3 linked regions of the Diceros bicornis minor genome follow. The protein of the gene in region 2 purifies or fractionates together with the protein of the main gene of each other region. This does not show direct contact. Links are inferred from orthologs where the notes say so. Each region holds a gene or a part of one and is shown on either strand. Other genes may lie near its edges.

Region 1 (7,962 bases), on a different chromosome or scaffold from region 2:
GCGTGCAGTGACGCACGGCTTCTCCGGCCATGCTGAGGCCGCGTCCCACATACAGCAACTAGAAGGATGTGCAGCTATGACATACAACTATCTACTGGGGCTTTGGGGGCAAAATAAATAAGTAAATAAAATCTTAAAAAAAAAAAGTGGAGGGGGGCTCTTATGGTCACTTCTATGCTGTCTCTCTATTCTGTTTACATTTTCTTTTTAAAAATATAAACATATTGAAATATTTACGAATGAAACGATGTGATGTCTGAAATTTGCTTCAAAATAATATGGGAAGTTAATCTGACAAATGGATTAGGGAGCATGATGGAGCTAATTCCTACCTCGCTTGGAACACCCATCCTCCTAGAGTTATCAGAACACAGAGAGGCAGCACTAGAGCCAGGAAGGGGTACGGATGAAACAATTGTTGGAGCTGGCGAGGGGGATATTACGGTTCACTGTACAGTGTTTGAATAAATTTAAAATTTTTCATAATGCAAAGTTAAAAAAAAAAAACTTCTCTCACATACATAAACTACTGGTGAGACTTTTTCCTAAAACACCAAGAGAGTCACGGTGTCTGGTGCTATCCTCACATCCTATTTAATTGTTCTAGAGATGCAACATCTGTCGGTTCTGTTGTCACTCTGCAAATTCTGAGGTTACTCTCAGAAACAGGCCACAAAAACTAAGAAAAACGAACAGCTGCCGGTTTGCACGTGGAGCTGGCAGGCAAGGTGTAGAAAACGACCCTATAGAAGAGAACTTAGTTCCAAAACACCGAGTCTTTCCCTGCTCTGGTTTGCTGGGTCCTGGAGACAAGGACGCCCAGCCATCAGGCCCAGGTTAATAGCCTTTATCTTCTGGCTGACGGCCTTTTTTTAATATACTTCATCAAATCCAACTGTGGCTTGACTAACATCTAAGTGCATTTACCTCTGAAATAATTCACAATTGTACAATAATTTTGGGGTTTAATTTTATAAGGGAAAAATTAGTTTTCGATAACCTGAACTAGCTATATTTGAGAAGACAAAGAGATTATGATTTTACAAAAAGCAAATCCCTAAAAATGTATGCAAGATTCACTTCCAGCCTATGGTATTTAGAGAAATGAAATGCACCCACCATTTGGCTGAATTTAGTCTGAGAAGAGGACTAGAGAGCATAATGGATAAAATCCCTACCCTGTTGGGAATACCCTTCCTCCTGGAGTTTTAAAGAACACCCAGGGGGGCCAGCAGGAGAGCCCAAGGGCAGGACCAGGAGGGAGCATTCCTTTTACATGATGCACAGAGTGTGAACTCCAGTTACTGGAGCTGGATTGTACCACAGTAAGATCACTCAGTATCCAAGTATTTAAGGAGAGCAAATGGGCACCAGTTTAAGAATAAAACATCAGGCCAGGCTCAAGGTACTTAATGTTCTTCTTCAAAGAATTACTTTGGGTTCCATTAGTTCTCCCTATATTCTTAAAATTTGGTCCTGAATCTGGGTATGTGTGGACAGCCAAAAGGACAGTTTTTACGCATTCAGAACATTCCTTCATTACAGATCTTAGAACTAGAGGCGCTGCCAGACTTGGAGATTTCGTTCATAAGAAGGTCTTTTACTTTAAAACACTCATCTTCCACAGTCATTCCACAAAGACTTGTTTCCAACTCTCAACCCCGGGGCAAATCTCAAGAGGCTGGACGCCTTGCAAGCTGTGACATGGTTAGGAGGCAGGGAGGAGTAGCCACCCGGTGACCACAGAAGCTCCAGGCTGGTCCCCGGTGGAAGAAGCAGGGCCAGGAAGCTGAGGGAGGCAGACTGCTCCAGCCAGCCGCCGCGCGCTCCTGGGGGCCTTGGCGAGCTCACGCGTAACGACAGCAGACTGCGTGGCTCCAGGAACAGACTGGGGGATTAGGGTCCTCAGTCATAAAGGCCAGCTACAAGCGCGCGTTTACACACACCCTGTCATTAACTCCTGAACTCGTTCCCAAATACAGTGGAGCCATCCGACACCAGATACATTTCACATTTACGCGTGCTTTCAAGTAGAATAAAATACGTGACGTGCCCCAGTCAAGCTGTCACACATCCATCTCACAAATAAACCTACTATGTGCCCGGCACTGTTGATACATTAGTGAACAAACACTGATCAAAATCTCTAGCCTCCCCGCACGGACACTGTCAGCGAAATAAATACTCAGTGGCCGACAGAAGTTTAATCATTTTCCTCCAATTTCCTGCCACCCACCCCATCCTTCCAAACTCCTAAAAAGCTGGAAATCTGTTTTATTGTATTAGCTTGACAGAGACAATAAAATCCTTTAGCCTGCGAGGAACAGACACTGTCTAGGTGCAACCCATTCGCCCCTGAACTCCACTCTCTCTCAGCCTTTTTTTCCAGCCTTAACGCCTCCAAAACTTCAACTGGCTTGAAGGACTGTGCTCTGTCACTGCAGCCCTGGGGTGGGCAATCGCAGGGCACTGGACGGGACCGGCCAGAGCCCCCTGCTCCTGGGGTGGCCCTGCCGAGGCCAGCGGGGCGCGTGCGGCACTCACCGAGGAGCCGGCCCAGAACGGGCACGAGTTCTTCACCTGCGGAGAGCTGCTCAGCGACAGTGCCCCGAAGCTGAGTGCCACCATGCAGCAGCCCAGGATCAGCTGCAGCAGCCCGAGCGACAACAGCGGGCGAGCGGGGAGCAGCGCTGCGCCCGGGGCCGCGGCGGCGGCGGCGGCGGCGGCCCGGCGGGAGGAGAGCGCGGGCGGCGCGGCCAGCACCCCGGCGGCGGCGGCGGTGGCCACGCAGCGAGGCCGCGCCGGGGGCTGCAGCGCGGCCCGGGGCCAGCGTGGCCGCAGCGGGGGCAGCGGCGGCTCCTGGGCGGTGGCGGCCGCGGCGCCCGGGCCCCCGGCCTGCGGCCCGCCGGAGAGCCCGGCCACCGGGCAGCAGGAGCCCGGGAGCACCACGGGCAGGGACATGGACGGGCGGGGAAAGAGCGGCCGGCGGCGGCGGGGAGGGGACGCGGAGCGGAGCCGCGGGCGCCGCGCACTGGGCACCGCGGGCGGGCTCCGAGGCCGAGGGGGAGGGAAAGAAATGCGCACGGCCCAACCACTTGCTGCTGCTGCTGCTGCCGCCGCCACCGCTGCCCGGGCTCCCGCCGGCCGCACCCACCTGCCACTCGGCGGGTCCGCCCCCGGCCGGCTCCCAGCGCACTCTCACTGTCACCCCCACACACACCCACGCGCGCCCTGCGCTCGCGCCGCGCGGCTGCTGCAGCCTTTGGGTCACGGCAGAACCTGCGCCCGCTCCCTGGGGTCCAGGAAAGGTGCCCAGCCCCAATTTTTTATATAGGTCCCTCGGGCTAGGAAGGACTTCGCGGTCAGGGTGCGTCGGAGCTGGCGGCCGACGGCTGTCCCCCACCCGCCGAGCTGGGGCAGGACAGGAGCGCAGGAGAAGCGCTGTGGACCCTTGCCCCCTTCCGGTCCAGCCAAGAGGGGGCCCCCGGCAACCTTTAATGTGAAGGGAGTCCGGCTTTAAACTTTTTCCCCCCAGGGCGGGGGTGAAGGCAGGAGGAGGGGCTATGGGTGACTTGGTGGGAAAAGTCTAAGTTGCCGGCTTTCAGGGAAGGACGAAGCAGAGCGAACTGACCACTAGCTCTGGGCTTCCGGGCGCTGACCCTGCGCCGCAGCCCGCCGCCTGAAAGTGGGGGAGGGGGTGGGGAGGGAAGCGGGCAGGGATGCTTTCCCCGCACCAGGGTAGGAGCCAGAGTGAGCACGAGGTTACGTTGGAAGTAAGTATCCAGCATCCGGAAAGAAGGAACCGGGGGCGATCTGGAGCGTGTGGCAAGGGTTACACTCTGTGTCCGCCTCCCCTTGAGTCCTGAGCTGTATTAGGTATCACCTGGTAGAACATAGAATCCTGAAATTTCCGAAGAAATATCCTAATAAAATCCTAATCTGTTTTTGGTAATTTATAAGACATATTAGAGCCTTAAAAAACAAAAAAGATGATTCGCCTTCTAAAATGGTTTTCCCTAATAGTATACCTTTCTCTCCAATGAATTCTTATGTGTGAAAGTGTTCTTATACATAAAACTATTATAATATATTTTTTCCAGGTTAAAAACCTGAGCAGTGTCATTTTGCAGTGTCAGTCTCAGTATCAGGCAACTCATTTTATCAGGAAGATGAGGGTATTTAACATTCTGCTACCCAATAAACCAAGGGAAATGTGTATCCATTTTTATGCTCTGCTTGCAAAGGCTATACAGTATTTATTTTGGTCATTACTTACTTCAACCCACATTGCTAATGTGCATGTGTGTTTACATATACACTTTTTGAATTCTTAAAGCACCTGTGATTAATAGTCCCTAAGACTTCTTTTACAAACTCCTCTTGGAAATAAACTTCAAATCCTGGAGAAAAAAGGAGCTGTCTTTTAAAATAAACGTTTCAAGTATGTTTGTTTCATGCACTTTAAAAATGTCTTGCAGTACATGTTCTTAAATTGCAGGCGATGTTAAATTAAAAGCTTCTTGTGTACTGAGTTTATACCTTATATTTTAAACACAAGCTTAAAGGTATTTAATTTTCAAGATTCTACTGCACTGTGCAATATAAAACGTCTGAGTGAGTCTTGAGAAATTCTGTCAACTTAACAAATCTATTCCACTGATCTAATCCTTGACACCAGAAGTGTACTATTAAAAATGTATTCTTTGTGTCTAGGAATGTTGATGCTAGAAGTCAGATGTCCTCCCTCCCTTTGGAGGGCTAATGACTGGAAGAGACAGTTCCGGGGGGCTGATAACCATCTGTTTCTTGCTGTGGGTGCTAGTTACATGGGTGGGATTCATTCTGAGAAAATTCATGGAGTTACACTTTGTGCATTTCTCTGTATTTTATACTTAAATACTTTAAAGTATTTCTAAGTACTTTGCCCTTAAATTTTTTGTGTATGTCCCTATATAGAAACAGGTGATAGCAGAGGTAATTAAAATCCATGGATAGTTTTATACAATAACTTTAGTTATTTTTTCAGGCAACTAAACCTTTCTAAAGCTGCTAATTAAGAGTTGTGCTGTAGCTTTCTTTTTTTATTAGCGGCCACATTTATAGCTGTGAGTTTCTTTTTCAGCTTATCATAAACACAAATCCATGTAACATTGCCCCAAACTTTAAGATTATGCCAAATAACACTCAAGTATTAACACTCAAGTATTTGAGGTTTGGATTTGTAACCCAGGCTTGATTCTTTGCATTCCCTAAACACTTGCTTACCATAAGTCCTTAGACCTCATCAAGCTGAGCTGTATGTAACTAAACTCTTTTTTTTTTTTTTTTTTTTTTGTGAGAAAGATCAGCCCTGAGCTAACATCCATGCTAATCCTCCTCTTTTTGCTGAGGAAGACCGGCTCTGAGCTAACATCTATTGCCAATCCTCCTCCTTCCTCCCCCCCCAAAAGCCCCAGTAGATAGTTGTATGTTATAGTTGCACATCCTTCTAGTTGCTGTATGTGGGACGCGGCCTCAGCATGGCCAGAGAAGCGGTGCGTCGGTGCGCGCCTGGGATCTGAACCCCAGGCCGCCAGTAGCGGAGTGCGTGCACTTAACCGCCAAGCCATGGGGCCGGCCCTGTAACTAAACTCTTAGAGGATGATTCAGATCTATTGATTTCAGGTTGGCTTGAGGCTTTGGAAAACAGTTTGACATTTCCTCAGAAAGTTAGAGTTATCATTTGACCCAGTAATTCCATTCCTAGGTATATACTCAAGAGAAATGAAAACATATGTCACACCACAACTTGTACACAAATAGCATTATTCAAAATAGCCGAAAGGTAGAAGCAACCCAAGTGTGGATGAATGGGTAAACAAAATGCGGTATTATGGATGAATGGATAAACAAAATGTGGTAATTCATGCCATGGAATATTTTCAGCAATAAAAGAAATGGAGCACTGATACGTGCTACAGCGTAAATGAACCTTGAAAACATAATGCTAAGTGAAAGAAGCCAGTCACAAAAGACCACATATTATATGATTCCATTCATATGAAATCTCCAGAGAAAGACAAACACCACATGATTTCACTCATAAGTGGAAAATTAACACACAGACAGAGAGAACTGTGTGGTGGTTACCACGGGCAAGGGGGTTGTGGGGTGGGCATAAGGGGGGAAAGGATGCATTTATACAGTGACTCACAAACAATAACGTACAACTAAAATTTCACAACGTTATAAACTACTATGACATCAATAAAAAATTTTTTTTTAAATCTCCAGAATGGACAAATCCATAGAGACAGAAAGTAGATTAATGGTTACTTAGGGGTGGGGAATGGGGAGATTGAATGTGGGGAGGGTGATTGCTAAGGGTAGGGGGTAACTTTTTGAGGAGAAAAAATGTTCTAAAATCGATTGTGGTGATGATTGCACAACTCTGTGAATATACTAAAAACCATTGAATTGTACACTAATTTAAATAGGTGAATTGTATTTCAATAAAGATACATGTGAATTATATCTCAATAAGCCCTTACCAAAGAAATTAAAAATAAAGTGAGGAAGAACGTATGGAAAACTTGACCCAGACATTTCATTAATGTAGGTGAAAGTTCAAGGAAACAATAGTTGTAGTGTATCGTTCAGTGGATCCCAGCTGTCAGCTTTCCTCAAGATCAAAGCCAAATTCCAAGGAGAAATTTCCACCCATTCTTCCCTTCCCTGTACCTTCTTTTCCACTCCCCGCACTCAAAACCTTCACCACTCAGGAGTTTGGGCTCTTTCGCTCAGGTTTCACTGGACACCTTTAAACAAACTCCTCAGTTCCTCCCACCCTTTCTCAGAAGACCCAACCTGTCAGCTAATTACAGGAGGTTAGTCCCCGCTGGAGTGGGAGCTGCTGAACAAACTCTTTCCTCAAAACACGTTCCCTGGCAACCTGACTCCAGTTCTTATATTTTACAAAGAGAAGAGCTTCTCTGAGAAAGGCACAGTGGACTCCAGAAGTCCTCATTTAAAATGGTGGCTCTGGAGCACCTTCTCAAAGTGTGGTCCACAGACCATAGAACCATGTCAAAATGCAGGTTCACAGGCTTCCCCCACGCCAGGGAGTCTGACACTCCAGATAATAGGCCTGGGAACCTGCATTTTAACACATTCCAGAAAACATTACTGGATGGTACTATTCAGACTCCAGAATTTTTATATGGGAATATTTATATGGGAGGGATCTACGAGTCACAAATATGTTGGAAGGGGAAAGCAGAAGATTTAGCTTGAAAGCAAACTGAGATGTAAATACGTTGGGGGAGTGCTTTGCTGGTCCTCAGCCAGGCACTGCTGCCCAGGTCATTTCTATGCAGGAGAAGGATTTAGATTCCTGGATTCTAATGGAAAGGGTACCATATTAGGAGCCAGACATCCTGAGTTGTAGTCCCTCCTCTACTCTGTGACCTTGAGCCAGCTCCAAGCTTCTCTAGCCTCAGTTGCTTCAACTATCAAGGGCATGTTTGTGATGCTCCATCTGTCTGAGGCTGGACCATGTGATCAGATGGTGTCCCCTAGGCCTACAGTTTTGAAGTTCAGCCATTCTCATCGCCATAGTTTCTCAGATGATCAGCAAAAGAGCAGAAACCAAGAAAAGCAGGTGAATTTTGGTGTGGAATCTTGGAGACCCAAAATACCCAGGACAAAACTGAAAATTCATTATTCTAAACTTTAAGGCCTCAGGTTCCATGGTCTCATGTTTTTCCATGAGGGACTATGTTGTATGAGGATTGTGTTGGGGAAATGGAGTGGCAACTTCAATTATAACATTTCCCTTTGCAGAGAAAGGACTGTGGAACTTTTTTTTTTTTTAATTGAGAGAGAGAGGAAATGGAAGAAAGAAAGCAACCCTGAGCAGAGCTGGGCAAATCAGGCACTCCATTTTTGTGAAGTAATGGTGCAGACTAGTTGTTAAGGATTCTT
Region 2 (7,946 bases):
ACCTTTTTTTTCTTTTGATAAAATATCCAAAGCTCTTTAGTAGCACACATTCATCTTGGTACACTGGAGAATAATAGAATAAGAGTTACAAAACTTAGCTCTAGTTCTAGCTCTAGTTCTAGCTCTGATTCTTAACTAGTTTTAGGTAAATTATTTAACCTCCTTAGGACATTTTTTTTTAAAACAAACAGAAAACCAAGAGGTTGGACTAGTCTAAGAATAGTATATACCTGGCACATATACCACCCACTAGATAACTGTGCCCGCAGGAGGCATCACCAATCAATCATAAGTCACTTTCCCAGAGAACCCATATGACCAAAATCCCTCTCAATACAGTGCTTCTGGCAGCTACTTCAAAGCAGAGTTGGCCCATAAACCATATTTGCCACTGTATAATCTCTGCAATCTCTTGCAACTCTAAAATTCTAAGACCAAGTTTCTGAGTGGGAGAAAAACTTCAAACAAGCTTAGATCACCGTTGATAGTCATAAATTTCAGTCTTATCTCCTAATTCTCCTCCAAATTGCACCCAATCTCGTTCTAATTTTTTCAAAGATGCTAATGAACAATACACTCCAATACCATTAACATATTTAACCTGGCAATATAATTCAGGCTTGCTAATGGGTTCTTTTGACAGAAAAGGAGTCCTTTGCCCAGACTGTCCCTAAAAAATCCTCATCCAAAAATATGGCAACAATATTACACTAGGAAAGAACTAAACTCAAACCCTTAAACATCCCCACAGCCTCTGTCCAAGGTCAAGGCTTTTCACCTCTCACCTAGACCTCTGCAATGGCCACTCTTCCATCCCTTCACTCTTATCACCAGAGCAATCTTTCTGAAACACACACATACTCATCCCACTTTCCTGTTTAAAAATTTGCATCTATTGCTAACAACATAAAACTCAAGTTTTTTAGCATTATACTTAGAACTTTTCATATAGTTGCCTCCTTTGACCTTTCTGGCCTCATGTCTCACATGCTCTCCTTCCTCATTCCACTCCCTGCTCTCTGAACCCTTTTTCTTCTACAATCCTCTGCATTTACAAACAGCATTAAGGTTTCTTCCTTTATCTGCCTTGTCCTTCCTTTTCCCCATCCCTATCACACTCCTACTCATCATCTAAGACCCAACTTAGGTCCACAGGCAGATTCTGCCTCCTTCTGTGGCCAACCCCCAGATAGAACAGGTCACTTCCTCATCTGTCTCCAAGTTTTTTGAGCTGTCCTAGGTATGCTCACAGTATTGTTTGCCTCAGTGGTTCCCAACACCATCAGAATTACCTGAGGCATGTTGTAAAAATAAACTCCTTAGAGCCAACACAGGCATACTAAATCAATCTCAGGAGACAAGACCCCGGAAATTCTACTTTTAACAATCTTCCCTAATTATTCTAATGGTCAAATTTGGGGACTACCGGTCTGTCTCTTCCAATAGGTGTAAAGATGTGTTTTTTAAAAGAATGTAGAAATGATTTACTCTAGAATACACTGAAGAAGTATTCTGCACTTGCTTTTTATTTCATATCATAATCCTTGTTGACTTGATTCATATGCTGAAGATGAAGGAATTCCTTTTGGACTCACACCCAAAAACCTTACATTCACTGTTCAAAAAAAACAGTTGAATTTCCACCTTCATTTCTAAATCTTAAAAATGAAGTAATTGTACCTTGAGTAAACCTATGAATACACAGTGCAGGCGCTCACCAGATCTGCCACGAGAACTTCATTTCAGCCGAGAAACAAATCCTTAGCAGATTTTGAGAGTGGAAATACACTGCCTCTACATACTTCCTTAAAATCGAATTATATTAGGAATAGATGCCGGAGACCCCAACTAAGTGCCAATGATAGGCGGCTGGCTCCAGCGCCTCATTAATTTTCAAAGACAAGTCCCACTCTTCCTTCCCCACCCCTCACTCCCCCAAAAAAGTATACTGAAGCTGTAAAATAATGGCAGAAAATGTAACACGATTAAAGATACAAATGTAACCAAGAAAACAAGTTGGGTTGTTACCGGGAATCGTGAATTTCGGGTGGTTTGCAAGTTCACCTGGTTACATCTCGGACTAACGTTAGGCCCAAAGTCTACTTCGGGCGCACGGTCCCTGTGTTTATCTCTCTTTAACTCGCTGCCCGGAAATAAATCTTAAAACTTGAGGTCCCTACGAAGTCATGTCCTCATCATGTTTTGACCCTTATAATACGTTCACGGCTACTTTTTTCTTTTCTCTGCTAAAGGAACGGACACTCTCAGGAAGGAGGACAGTGACAGCTCCACGTCTGCAAAACTCGGCGCCGGGAGGCGCCGGCAGGGTCGGGGCGGCGGGAGCCGAGCAGGGCGCCCGGGCCGGGACCACCACGCTGGGGGACAATGGAAGGAGGAGGGGACTGGAAAAGACAAGGGTAAGTAGCCGCTGTGCTGGGCCCCCCTCGCGACTGGGGGCTCCAAAAAGTCTCGAGAAGGCCAGCCGGGTGGCAGGTGGGCCTCGCCGCCGCCCCTCACAAGGCCACGTCGCGCGCGCCGGCCGCTGCCGCCGGGCCCCGCGCGTAGGCCCGGCGGCGGGAGAGTGGCCCCCGGGCGGGGCTGAGGGGCGCGGGGCCGGACCCTGCCGGCGTCCGCCGCGGCCCAGCCCTCCCACAACTTGGCGCCGGCGAGGCGAGGGGCTCCGGACGCCTCAGCCCGACAGTGGCCACTCGGTGCGTCCGGCCGTCCCACCTCCCGCCCGGCCCGGGCCACTAGCCCGAGCTCCTCGCGCCCCCAGGGGCACCGGCTCTGAGGGAAGAGCGAGGAGCCAAGGTTCTGGGGGCCCGGCTCGCGCGCCACATTTCTCCATTCCTCGTTCTCCTCGGACACTCTCATCCGGGCACCCCACTCTCCCCAGAACTGCCCCCAGCCCGCCTGCGGGTATTTACCGGGACTCGGGGCGGCGGCGACTCTTCAGTCCCTCGACTAAGATGGCAGCCGGTCCCGAGCCCCGACTACAGGGACCGGAGCCACTAGGCCGCCAATGCGCAGGCGCCTCCTCCTCGGGAGCGACCCCGACTACAAACCCCAGAAGGCCTGGCGAACTTGCCAGCCTCTGGCCGGAAGAGCTGGCTGGAGCTGGTGAGCGCAGCTAAATCGGAGTTTGCTCCCTCCCAGCGCTTCTAGGCCCTTTTTTAATCCCTCCCGCCCCACCCCCACCCCCACCCCCACCCCCACCCCCAACCTCTAAAGACTGTAGCTTCGGTTCCGAAACTCTAGTGTGCGTCAGAATCAGCTGAAAGCCTTGCTAAAACTTAGACTCCTGGGCCCCCCCTCCTCCCCCAGAGTTTCTAATTCAGCTGATCTTAGATGGCCTGTATTAATTTACATTTCTAACAAGCTCTCTGGTGTGCCACTGGTGGAGGATCACACTTTGAGAACCAAGATTTGTCCTTAAGGAAGTGCACTCGGGAGTTACATTGATCCGGTTCAAATATACCTTTTAACAGGGTGCGCTTAGGGTTGATGAAAATAGCTTACACGTAATTGGTGCCAACAGGGCAGGTGTTCCAAGAGCTACTCAATAAACTTCTTTAAACCTCACAACAAACTTATGAGGGAAGTATCTTCACTATCCTCACTCTACAGATGCATAAACAAAGTCACAGCTGGATAAGAACCCAGGCAGTCTGGCTTCAGAGTCCATCCTCTTAACTTCCTTCATGAGTTGTTTATGAGAATAGATAGGCTAAGTAGACTCAGAGGAACAACTAAGTGCTTAGTAATTAGTAACCTTTGCTATTATTGTTTAGCCTGTTTCCTCCTAGTGAAAATAATATTTCACCATCTAGAAAGTCACTTAACGCTTTTCAAAATACTTTCAAATCCTGTATGTTAATGTTTCCTGCAATATGCCTTAGGAGAGTGTGTTAAAGATACAGATTCCTGCTTACAGATCTTCTTAAAGATACAGATACAGTATCCTGTACTCTTGGGGGGGTCCTACCTATTCAAATTCTCTAGGACAGTGGTTCTCAAACTTTAGTGCCCATCAGAATCACCTGGAGGATTTGTTAAACCTTAGTTTGCTAGACTCCACCCCCAGAATTTCCGATTCAGTAGGTCTAGAATGGGGCCTCAGAATTTGCATTTTTAACCACAGACTACACTTGGAGAGTCACTGCTGTAGGGCAGTGTTTCTCAACCTTTTTTTAATCATCTCTCTAAGGAACATTTTAAGACATTTTTTTCTCTAGTCATTCCCCCCATGAAATTTTAATATCACAAGTATACTGTATATCTATTTATGTACTATATGTATATCTGTGCTTTTACATGAAAAAGTAAAAAAATTTTCCTCTCCACCCCCAACCAATTTTTGTCCCATTACGAATGTATGCTCTGGGCCGGCCCCGTGGCTTAGCGGTTAAGTGCTCGCGCTCTGCGGCTGGCGGCCCGGGGTTCAGATCCCGGGTACGCACCAACACACTGCTTCTCCGGCCATGCTGAGGCCGTGTCCCACATACAGCAACTAGAAGGATGTGCAGCTATGACATACAACTATCTACTGGGGCTTTGGGGGAAAAAAAAAAATGAGGAGGATTGACAATAGATGTTAGCTCAGAGCCGGTCTTCCTCAGCAAAAAGAGGAGGATTAGCATGGATGTTAGCTCAGGGCTGATCTTCCTCACACACACGAGGGAAAAAAAAAAAAAGAATGTATGCTCTGGGAAACGTGGGTTTTTAAAGTAGTGCCCCAGGTGATTTTTGTCAGCAGGCAGGTTTGGGAAACACTATCTCTTTAAGGTATGAGGTGTTTTTATGACTATTATACGGAGAAGGAAATGAGTCTCAAGGAAATTAGATGACTGATCCAAGATCACTCAGCCAGGAGCTAGGGATCCAACCAAAGTCCTCTGGCTCCAGATTCTGTCTTCATCTACAATTTTTTAAACTATATAATGTTAGGCAAAACTAATCTACGGTGTTTGAAGTCAGGATAGTGAATCCCTTTGAGGGGAAGTAGTACCAGGAAGGAGACACAAAGGGGCTTCTCAGGGCTGGTAATAATGTGGTGTGCTGGTACACAGGCATGTTCACTTTGTGAAAATTCATCAAGCTGTATACTTATGATTTGTGTATTTTTCTGTATTTGTATTATATGTCAATAAAAGTTTACCTCAAGCAAATATATGTTTTAAATATATGCTCATTTTGTTCCAAAAATGCATCTCTTTCTACTACATGCCAAAGATTCTCAAACTTTAGAGTGCCTCAGAATCACCTGGAGGGCTTATTAAAACTCAGATTGTCAGCTATCACTCCCAGAATTTCTGAGTTAGGAAGTTCTGGAATCAGGCCTAAGAATTTGCATTTCTTTCTTCTTTTTTTTGTGAGGAAGATCAGCTGTGAGCTAACATCCATGCCAATCCTCCTCTTTTTGCTGAGGAAGACCAGCCCTGAGCTAACATCTATCGGCAATCCTCCTCCTTTTTTTCCCCTTTTCTCCCCAAAGCCCCAGTAGATAGTTGTACGTCATAGTTGCACATCCCTCTAGTTGCTGTATGTGGGATGCTGCCTCAGTATGGCCAGACAAGCAGTGTGTCGATGTGCGCCCAAGATCTGAACCCGGGCCACCAGTAGCGGAGCGCATGCACTTAACTGCTAAGCCATGGGGCCGGCCCCAGAATTTGCATTCCTAACAAGTTCCCCAGGTGATGTTGATGCCCAAGGATCACATTTTGAGAAACACTGAACTATGCCAACCTAACTTTCATGCTAATGCCAACAGGGTGGAATAGCTCTGCCCTGGGAGGCAGTACTTGGAAGAGTTAATAATTTAGGCTTATTCAGAGGCATATGGATCAAAGATCTAGTCCTGACTATCAACAACTTGCTTCAGGGTCTTAGGCAAGTGCCTTGAAACTCAGTGTCCAATCTCTAAATGGAAATAATAGATCCTACTTCCTAGGATGTTGTGAAGACTCTAGAAAATCCAGGTAGGTAGTTGGTGGTTCTCCAAAGAGAAGTTGAGTTGGTGAGGGCAGAGAATCCTCTCCTGGCCATTTCCTCATCTCTCATGCTGTGCAGTTTTGGCCCCCAGGTTCCCTGATCCAGAAGTCAGCCTAGTCTTGGCCTGGTCAGAATGCAGGACCTGTGGCTGATAAAGCTGTGAGCCACCTACACCCTCATTCTGCCTTGGACACCCAGGTCAGCCTGGGACAAGACCCAGCCCTGCTAGAGCAGGGGCAGGAAGCCTGGAGGAGGCCCCCACCACCAAGAGAAGGAGCTTCCCAGGCCTCTGGGGAGAGTAGGGGGGAAGGAAGCAGGGATGCAGAGCTGGAATGAGTGGGGAGAGAAACCCCAGTGGCCCACACACAGCCTGTCACTTACTGGCTTTCCCTGCAGAAGGCTTAGTCACGCTGTTGTCCCTCTCTTCCCTGAAGCCACTCTGTATTCAACTGCCAGAGACAGGGGAAGACTTGAAATGTGGCAGAGCTGTGTGTAGATGGAGAGAAGACACTGGATGGGGCTTCTGGGAATCTAAGATCTGGATCCAAAGAGACCACTTAAGACCTGAGGTCATGGCTCCATCAATTCCCCTCTTTAAGACTGTTTCTTCATTTGCAAAATGAGGCGCACACATTCTGCAGTTACTCCCTCCCAGGTAAGGTTGTCAGATTTAGAAAATAAAAATATAGGATGCTCAGTTAAATTTGAATTTCAGGCAAACAATGAATAATTTTTTTAGCATAAATATGTAACAAATATTGGTATAACATACTTATACTAAAATTATTTTCCTTGTTTATCTAAAATTCAAATTTAACTGGGCATCCTGCATTTTCTTTGGCAACTCGACATCCAGGGCTTTATCCACTTTTTCCATCAGGGGTAGTAAACTTAAATTCCTCCAAGGGCCAGTAAGGAAAAATAAAAAATCACAGCTAATATTTACTTTCTACATTGTAATTACCAAATAGAGTCTTAAGTGTTTTATATATACTATCTCATTGAATACTCTCAGCAACCTAGGTGGGGTGCTCAGTTTCCACATCTATAAGATGAGAATGGTAATATAACCTATATCGTGGGTCATTGTGAGGATTAAATTAGCATGTGAAACACTTAGAACAATGCCAGGCAAGCACTCAATAAGCAATAGCTATACTTTTTCCCATTATACAGATGGGGAAACTGAGTCTCAAAGAGGCAGGATAACCAGCTTGTGGTCATACATCTAGCAAGTAGCAAAGCCAGGATTTGAACTCAGGTCTAAAACATTGGCAACCAATTCAAAACATTTAAAACTCCTGCATGTTTCATCAGCAGGAAAATGGATGAAGTGTGGTATATTCATTCATACAGTAGAATACTACTAAGCAATAAAAAAGAACAATTACTAATATACAAAATAAAGCAGATAAGTCTCAGACATTAAGCTAAAAGAAAGAAGCCTTATACAAAGGAGTATACACTGTAAGATTCTATTTGTACTATGTTCTAGAATAGGTAAATCAATTCAATGGTGAAAGAAAATCACAATAGTGGTTGCCTCTGGAGCGAGAGAATTTTCTGGGGTGTTGAAAAGGTTCTTTCAGTATCTTGTTAGGGGTGTGGATTATGTGGTGGTACACATTTGTCAAAACAGTAAATGGTCTACTTGAGATATATGTGTATCATTGTATATAAATTTAACCTAAAAAAAATATATTGAACTCTAGTTAGTGACAGGCGTGCTGAAGTGTTAAGAGGTAGAGTGAACTCTAGAGCTTCTTTGAAATGCATCAAAAAATGAGATGGATGTGTGGAGAGAGAGATGAATGAATAAATATGTGACAAAGCAAATATAGCAAACTGTTAATTCTAGAACCTAGGTGGTGGAAAGTTGATGTTCACGGTACAATTCTTTCAGCTATTCTCTATGTTTGAAATTTTTCATGATAAAATGTTGCAGGGGGTGGGGG
Region 3 (7,103 bases), on a different chromosome or scaffold from region 2:
GCTGCACTCCATAAGTTTTGGTATATTCTGCTTGATTTTCATTCATCTCAGAGTATTTTCAGATTTTCCTTTTGATTTCTTCTTTGAACCACTGGTTACTTAGGTGTGTGTTGTTTAATTTCCACATATTTGTGAGTTTTACCAATTTTTCCTGTTTTTGACTTCTAATTTCATTCCATTTTGGTCAGAGAACATACTTTATATTATTTCTATCCCGTTAAATTTACTGAGGTTTATTTTATGGCCTAGCAGATGGTGTATCCTGGAGAATGTTCCATGTGCACTTGAATGTATATTCATGTATATTGATAATATATATTCTGATATTGGATGGAGTGTTCTATAGCTGTTAGGTCTAGTTGGTTTATAGTATTGCTCAAGCCTTCTGTTTCCTTGTTAATTGTCTGTCTAGTTGTTCTATCCCTTATCGAAAGTGGAGTATCGAAGTTTCCAACTGTTACTGTTGAAACATCTATTTTTTGTTTATTTCTTTCAGTTTTGCTTCATGTGTTTTGGTGTTCTGTTATTAGGTGTAAATATGTTTATAATGATTATATCTATCTGATGGATTGACATTTTTATTGTTATAAAATGTCTTTATCTCTAGCAACATTTTTTGTTTTGAAGTTTATGTTGTGTGATATCAATATAGCTACTCCAGCATTCTTGTGGTTGCTTTTTGCATGATATATCTTTTTCCATATTTTATTTTCAATCGATTTGTATCTTTGAATCTAAAGTGTGTCTCCTATAGATAGTTAGAGTTGTATCATAGGTTTTTTTTAAATCCAGTCTAACAAATTTTCCTTTAGATTGGATTATTTAATCCATTTTCATTTAGTGTTATTATTGATATAGCTGGATTTGCATGTGCTATTTACATTTATTTTCTATGTCTCGTGTCTTTTCTGTTCCTTTATTTCTCCTTTCTGCTTTCTTTTACATTACGTGACTATTTTCTAATGTAGCATCTTTTTTTTTTTTTTTAATGAGGAAGATCAGCCCTGAGCTAACATCCATGCTAACCCTCCTCTTTTTGCTGAGGAAGACCTGCCCTGAGCTAACATCTATTGCCAATCCTCCTCCTTTTTCTCCCTTTTTCTCCCCAAAGCCCCAGTAGATAGTTGTATGTCATAGTTGCACATCCTTCTAGTTGCTGTACGTGGGACGCTGCCTCAGCATGGCCAGACAAGCAGTGCGTCGGTGTGCGCCCGGGATCCAAACCCGGGCCGCCAGTAGCTGAGCGTGCGCCCTTAACCACTAAGCCATGGGGCCAGCCCCTAATGTAGCATCTTAATTTCTTTTTGTGTGTGTGTGAGGAGATCAACCCTGTGCTAACATCTGCCAATCTTCTTTTTTTTTTGCTGAGGAAGACTGGCCCTGGGCTAACATCTGTGCCCATCTTCCTCCACTTTATATGGGACACCACTACAGCATGGCTTGCCAAGCAGTGCACCAGTATGCACCCAGGATCTGAACCGGTGAACCCCGGGCTGCTGCAGCGGAGCGTGCGCACTTGCGGCACCGGGCTGGCCCCAGCATCTTAATTTCTTTAATGATTTTTCACTATATATTTTTGAATTATTGTTTTAGTGGTTGCTCTGGGGTTTACCACATACATCTTAACTTATCAGAGGCAGCTTCAGATTTATACTAGCTAGTCCCAGTGATATATAGAAATGTTACTCCTACATAGCTCCATTCCCTTCTCCACCTCTTTGTGGTATTAACATCAATTAACGTTACACATCCAGCAATATACTCTTATAATTATTACTTTATCATCTGTAGTCATTTCCTTATCCCAATATAGCTTTGCTTCCACCCCAATCCTTCGTGCTGCTACTGGCAAATATATTTCACATATATTAATTTCTACATATTATAGGCACAACAATCCATTATATTATTTTATGAAATTGCTTTTTAAATCAGTTAAGAGTAGGAGAAAAAATATTCATTTATACTGTCTTTTATAATTATATAATTACCTTTCTGATGTTCTTTGTTTTTTGGTGTGGATTTGAATTACTGTCTGGGGTTACTTGCTTTCAGCCTGAAAAACTTTTAGTATTTCTTGTAAGGCAGATCTGCTAGCACAGATTCTCTCAGTTTTGTTTATTTGGGAAAGTATTTCACTTTATTTCACCAATCTTATTTTCAAAAGATAGTTTTGTGCATATAGGATTATTGGTTGAAAGGCTTTTTCTTTGAGCACTTTGAATATATTATCTCATTGCCTTCTGGCCTCTATTGTTTTTGCTGAGGAGTCAGCTTCCTGGATGTGTAGGTTACAGTTTTTCAATACATTTGGGAAGTTTTTAGCCATTATTTCTTTGAATGTTTTTTTTGCTCCTTTTCCCACTCTCCTCTCCTTCTGTTACCGCCCAGCGTGGGGCCTTCTGCTCGCTGCAAGACATGCCAATAGTCAAGAGGCAAGGTGGTAGGAGAAAAAGGACTTTTTTTGTTACAGCTTGCTAGCAAGAGTGAAGATGGCCGACTAATGTCTGAAAAAAACCATCTTAAAGGGGCACAAATCTTATAGCAGTTATATAGGCCGGTGGGTTATAGAGGAGGGGGTTAGGAATGGAATGTTGGAATGTTGACCTTCTGGTGTTACAGACTGGGAGTCACCACACCAGATCCTTCAGTTTTCATTGATGATTGCTACCAGCATAGACTCTCTGTTTGGGGGTCATCACATTCCTAAGGAACTCAAAAGAACAAAGTTATCATCTTATGGCAGCTGGGAGGTATATGCACAAGCAAGGGTTGTAAAATCAACATAGCAGTTAGATCTCCTGGAGGGTGTATATCCAGCTGGGTTAGTTTGTCAGAGGTCATTCAAAGTTACAATAGGGTTTCTTTTCTACAACATGGCTTCCCTCATGTCAACCTTGTCTTTAGCCAGTATCACTTCTGGTACTTTCAGTGTGCATATGTTGGTGTGCTTAATGATGTCTCACATTTCTCTGAGAATCTCTTCATTTTTCTGTTCTTTGGCTTGCATAATCTCTATGCCTCTAACTTTAAGTTATTCTTTTTTTCTGCCAATTCAAGTCTATTATTAAACACCTAATGAAGTTATTTCAGTTATTGTATTTTTCAACTCCAGAATTTCTATTTGGCTCATTTTTATAATTTCTGAGTCATATCTCTACTCTAGCTGCTGAATATGTGTTGATATTCTGTTTGATATGGCTTGTTGTCATAACTTCCTTTACTTCTTTAATCATGCTTTTCTTTAGTTCTGAGAACATGTTTATAATGGCTACTTTGAATTCTTTTTCTGATAAATCCAACATCTGGTCGCTTTCTGATAAATCAGACATCTGGTCGCTCTCACGTGCAGTTTCTGTTGCCTGCTATTTTTCCAGTATATAGGTCATACTTCCCCATTTCCTTGCATGCATCGTAATTTTTTGTTGGAAAGTGGACATTTCATATAATATATTGTAGCAACTCTGGGTACTTGTTTCCTCCCCATTCCCCTCCCCTCCCCCCAGCCTTTGTTGTTGTTATTTGCTTGTTTATTTGTTTAGTGGCTGGCTGGATTACTGTAATGAAGTGTATGCTGGCCACCCCCTTAAACTTCTGATGTTGTTATCCCAGTATTCCAGTAGTTTGGGTAGGGCTCTCTTCCTCTCATTGCCTGACCACACCCAGCTGTTAAACTCCGCAAGTTAGCTGGCTGATTGTTCTATTATTTACAACAATGCCCTGGAGCATAAATTGCTCAACAAATGAATCCAATCAAATTCTAGCCCTTTTGAAGCAACAGTTTATGAGGTCAGTGTTTAATATTTGTTCTTACCACAGGTAGGCTTCCCTCAGCTGTCTTTTTTTTTTTTTTATAATTTTATTTATTTATTTTTCCCCCCCCAAAGCCCCAGTAGATAGTTGTATGTCATAGCTGCACATCCTTCTAGTTGCTGTATGTGGGACACGGCCTAGGCCGGAGAAGCGGTGCGACAGTGCGCGCCGGCCCCGGCAGCCAGCAGCGGAGCGCGAGCACTTAACTGCTAAGCCGTGGGGCCAGCCCTCCCCGAGCTGTTTTTATCTCTGGTTTTCTCCTGCAAACTAGTCCGCCTACAATTCAGCCCACATCTTGAGTCTCCTCCCAATCGCCTATGACCAAAACCTCCAGGTGTTTGAGAGCACACTTTGGCTTGAATTTTTCCATGTTCTGTTGCAAATGAAGTCAGTACCTTTGGGAAGAGATTAAGAGCTATCTGTTTTAAGGACTGCCTTTCCCCTTAGGCCCAGTCTCGGAGCCAGGGTTTAGGAGCAGGAGGTGGAACAATGACAACTTCAGTGAGTCACATCCCTGCTGCACGGGCTGAGCAACAGCTGGTGGAGCCTGTAGCCACCTGAAGTCCTCTCAGCGTCTCTTCTCTGGCTTGAACCACCACTTCAGGAGCTGGGGTAAGCGTGCTTAGGACCCCCGTATTCTCAGCACTCCAGCCCAGGGTAGAGCCTCTGTTCCACGAGTGGGGCTGGGTGGAAGAAAGGAACCCCGCTCAGCCAGGATCGGCCTCAGTATCAGGCGGCTAGGGGCCGAGTGAGAATTGCTGACACCCTGCCCCTCCCACTGGGAGCCGCGGGAAGAGGAGGCCGTGTGTTCTTCTCGGTTCCAGCAGTCGGGAGTGGGGTGTCTGCCTTGCCAAGCTGGGAGGGTGAAGGGAGCAAGAGGTCTTGGTTGAAATAACACAGATTCTTGCCTTTCTTACTGAATTTTCGTCGATTTTCTTGAATAGATGTTTCTTCATTTGCTGTCTTCTTTTAGGACTGTTTCCAAGCCTTTAAATGGGTGCTTGCTTGTTTTAAAATAACTGTCATCAGTTTCCCTAGGGCGTGGGTCAGCCGAGCCCCCGCTGTCAGGCCGGTAGTCAGTCTCCCTGGTATCGTGCTTGCAACTCCTGTGAGTTTAAATTTATTTCAAGAAAAGTTAAGAAATTAAAAAAGCCCCAAGGAACTAGTGGCTAGGAACGAAGAGATCAATCACGAGGCGCCCTCGCGTCGCTGCTCGCTCCTCTCCCCGTCGTCCATGGCTGACAACGCCGGCGCTGCTGCGCCTCGGGACAGCCGCCCCCCGGGGGGAGGCACATCCGCCACAACAGGAAACAGCTGCTGGACCAGCCGGGCCTTTCAATGCCAGGGACTCGTTGGGGGCTGGTGCCGGGGTCTCTGGGCCGACCACGGCGAATGTCGGGCCGCGCGACTTCTGTGGGGTCAAAGTTGAGAGAAGTCCGCGAGGGCGAGCGAGGCGGGGAGGCCGGGCCGGCGAGCGCCACGTCCGCCTCCGGGTTTCGGTTTCTCGCCTCCATCTTGCCCGCGCTCTGCGAGCGCCGCGGAGGGAAGCCGGGAGGAGCGTCCCGCCGCGGGCAGGACGGTAAGTGCCGTGCGGCCCGCCGCTCCCGAGCGCGGGGGCCGGGACCCGCGCCGCGGTGGGCGTCCGGCCTGCGCGCTCCTCGCGGAGCCGGCCGGCGGGGGTGCGGGCGGGGGCGCGGGCCGCGCGGGGTGACTCAGTCTGTGGAGTCGGCCTCGGGGTTCCCTCCCCCGCCCCCCGACTGTCGGGGGCCGCCCGAGGCCGCGGGGACGCGGACCGCACAGCCCTGGGCCGACTCTAGCCGCAGAGGCGGGAGCAGGCCTGGGGCGGGGCCGCGTCCTGTCACCGAGGCCACCGTCGGGTCGCTCAGTCCCGGGGGTGGCTGCTCAGAAGGCTGGGCAGGTCGCTCCGGGCAGGGCGCCCCGCAGCGGGGCGCGCGCCTCGGGGCAGCCGGCCTGCGGGACTCGGCGCTCGCGGTCGCCCGGCCGGGTGGGGCAGGGCGGCTACTTCTCAAAGCAGGCATACATGTTTCGGCCAGTTGCCAGGAAAGCTTGCCTTGCAACGTTCGGAACGCTTGGCTGAGATTTTTGTAAAGCCTTGTAATAAACCTGTTTCTGCCCCGCTCTTTTCCCCCTTCAAAACGACTGGGAAGGGAAGATGATTTCAGGTTGTTCTTGCTTGATGCAGTCCCGATCTGACGGAAGGGCGTGTGCTTTTTTTAAATATTTACTGTGCAGTGTGCAGTGCCATAGAACAAAGGCCATTGAAATGGGGCCAATACTGTGTTGATTGAAGGGAACAGGAAGTAAGTTCGGCGACGCCAGGGCTCTCCGATATTTTCGTTTGTTGACTTTTGAACTTTGTCCCAGGAGAAGTGGTGCCAGAAGGGACAGCATTTCGGACATGTCCGAAATAAAAGCCCGGACAATCTAAAACCGAGCCTAGAGCGGCCTTGACCTGCTCTAGATAAGAAACTGCAGACGAGAGGAACAGAATGTTCGGTATTTTCCCTCTAAACAGTCTTACAAAAAACACCGTAGGAACAAAGAACTTGGCTCAGTGCCCCCCAGAAAAACCTCGGGTTTGGAAGGAAATTTTCAATGTGTTTGTCACACCGTTTTCATTTTTTATGTTAACCCTTGTTTTACTCATAGCTTCTGCGCTGGATGTCCTGCGTTTTCTAACGACCCCTGTCTTGCATCTGTTTATGACTGACACCGGCACTTCTTTAATCCTCTCGCACTGTCTTGCACCCGCCCTCGAAGGTGAATCCCCCTGCAGGTCCGCGGGGCTGGGCGCCCCTGCCTCCCGCCCCCCGGGAGTCCGGTGCGGCAGGGGTTGGGAGGGTCGTCGCCGGCCGTTTTTTGAGAGGTGGCAGGGCGTCTGTTGGAAGCTGTCACGCCCTGGCTCTCGGGGGGTGGAGTGGTGGGCACGGCGGCGGCGCCCTCTCGGTCTCGGCCGCCGCACGGAATTCCCCGGGGCGCCACGTGGGCCCTTTGCCCCCAGAGCGCCGAGTTTATTCGGGGAGACGTGCGGGCACGGAGGGTTCTGGAGCCTGAAGTCTTGTGTGGGCGGCGTGTTCCGGGCGGGCTGCCTGGAGGAGGAGGAACAGCACAGGGGCTCAGCTGGCAGAGGTTGCCGGACGCCTGCCGGGAGGCCACGCCTTGATGCCCGCCGCGTCCCGCCCGGAGTATCTCCACCCGGGGTTCCGCAGCGGCAGGTCCGATCGTGTCCGGCCGAGATCCAGCGGGCGGAGCCGGGCCTGCCCGGGCGT

Evidence for each region. Proteins that work in one complex are often made in the same cells at the same time.
Region 1: the proteins of ITCH (region 2) and ENTREP1 purify together in Homo sapiens (co-immunoprecipitation; 3 studies listed by BioGRID and IntAct, counting the BioPlex papers as one, with this or other methods). This does not show direct contact. The link is inferred for Diceros bicornis minor from reciprocal best matches to the Homo sapiens genes ITCH and ENTREP1.
Region 3: the proteins of ITCH (region 2) and CFLAR purify together in Homo sapiens (affinity purification with western blotting; 8 studies listed by BioGRID). This does not show direct contact. The link is inferred for Diceros bicornis minor from reciprocal best matches to the Homo sapiens genes ITCH and CFLAR.

Annotation. Positions count from the first base shown.
Region 1 is NC_080761.1:23,821,202-23,829,163, forward strand, and holds the start of ENTREP1 (endosomal transmembrane epsin interactor 1), read right to left. Parts: upstream 3,012-7,962; 5' UTR 2,962-3,011; coding exon 2,545-2,961; intron 1-2,544. UniProt on the Homo sapiens protein: Functions as an activator of the E3 ubiquitin protein ligase ITCH in the ubiquitination of the CXCL12-activated CXCR4 receptor. Thereby, triggers CXCR4 endocytosis and desensitization, negatively regulating the CXCL12/CXCR4 signaling pathway.
Region 2 is NC_080758.1:25,188,359-25,196,304, forward strand, and holds the start of ITCH (E3 ubiquitin-protein ligase Itchy homolog), read right to left. Parts: upstream 3,007-7,946; 5' UTR 2,928-3,006; intron 152-2,927; exon of another isoform or gene 3-151; intron 1-2. UniProt on the Homo sapiens protein: Acts as an Acts as an E3 ubiquitin-protein ligase which accepts ubiquitin from an E2 ubiquitin-conjugating enzyme in the form of a thioester and then directly transfers the ubiquitin to targeted substrates.
Region 3 is NC_080749.1:79,017,643-79,024,745, forward strand, and holds the start of CFLAR (CASP8 and FADD-like apoptosis regulator), read left to right. Parts: upstream 1-4,092; 5' UTR 4,093-4,425; intron 4,426-5,179; exon of another isoform or gene 5,180-5,392; intron 5,393-7,008; exon of another isoform or gene 7,009-7,103. UniProt on the Homo sapiens protein: Apoptosis regulator protein which may function as a crucial link between cell survival and cell death pathways in mammalian cells. Acts as an inhibitor of TNFRSF6 mediated apoptosis.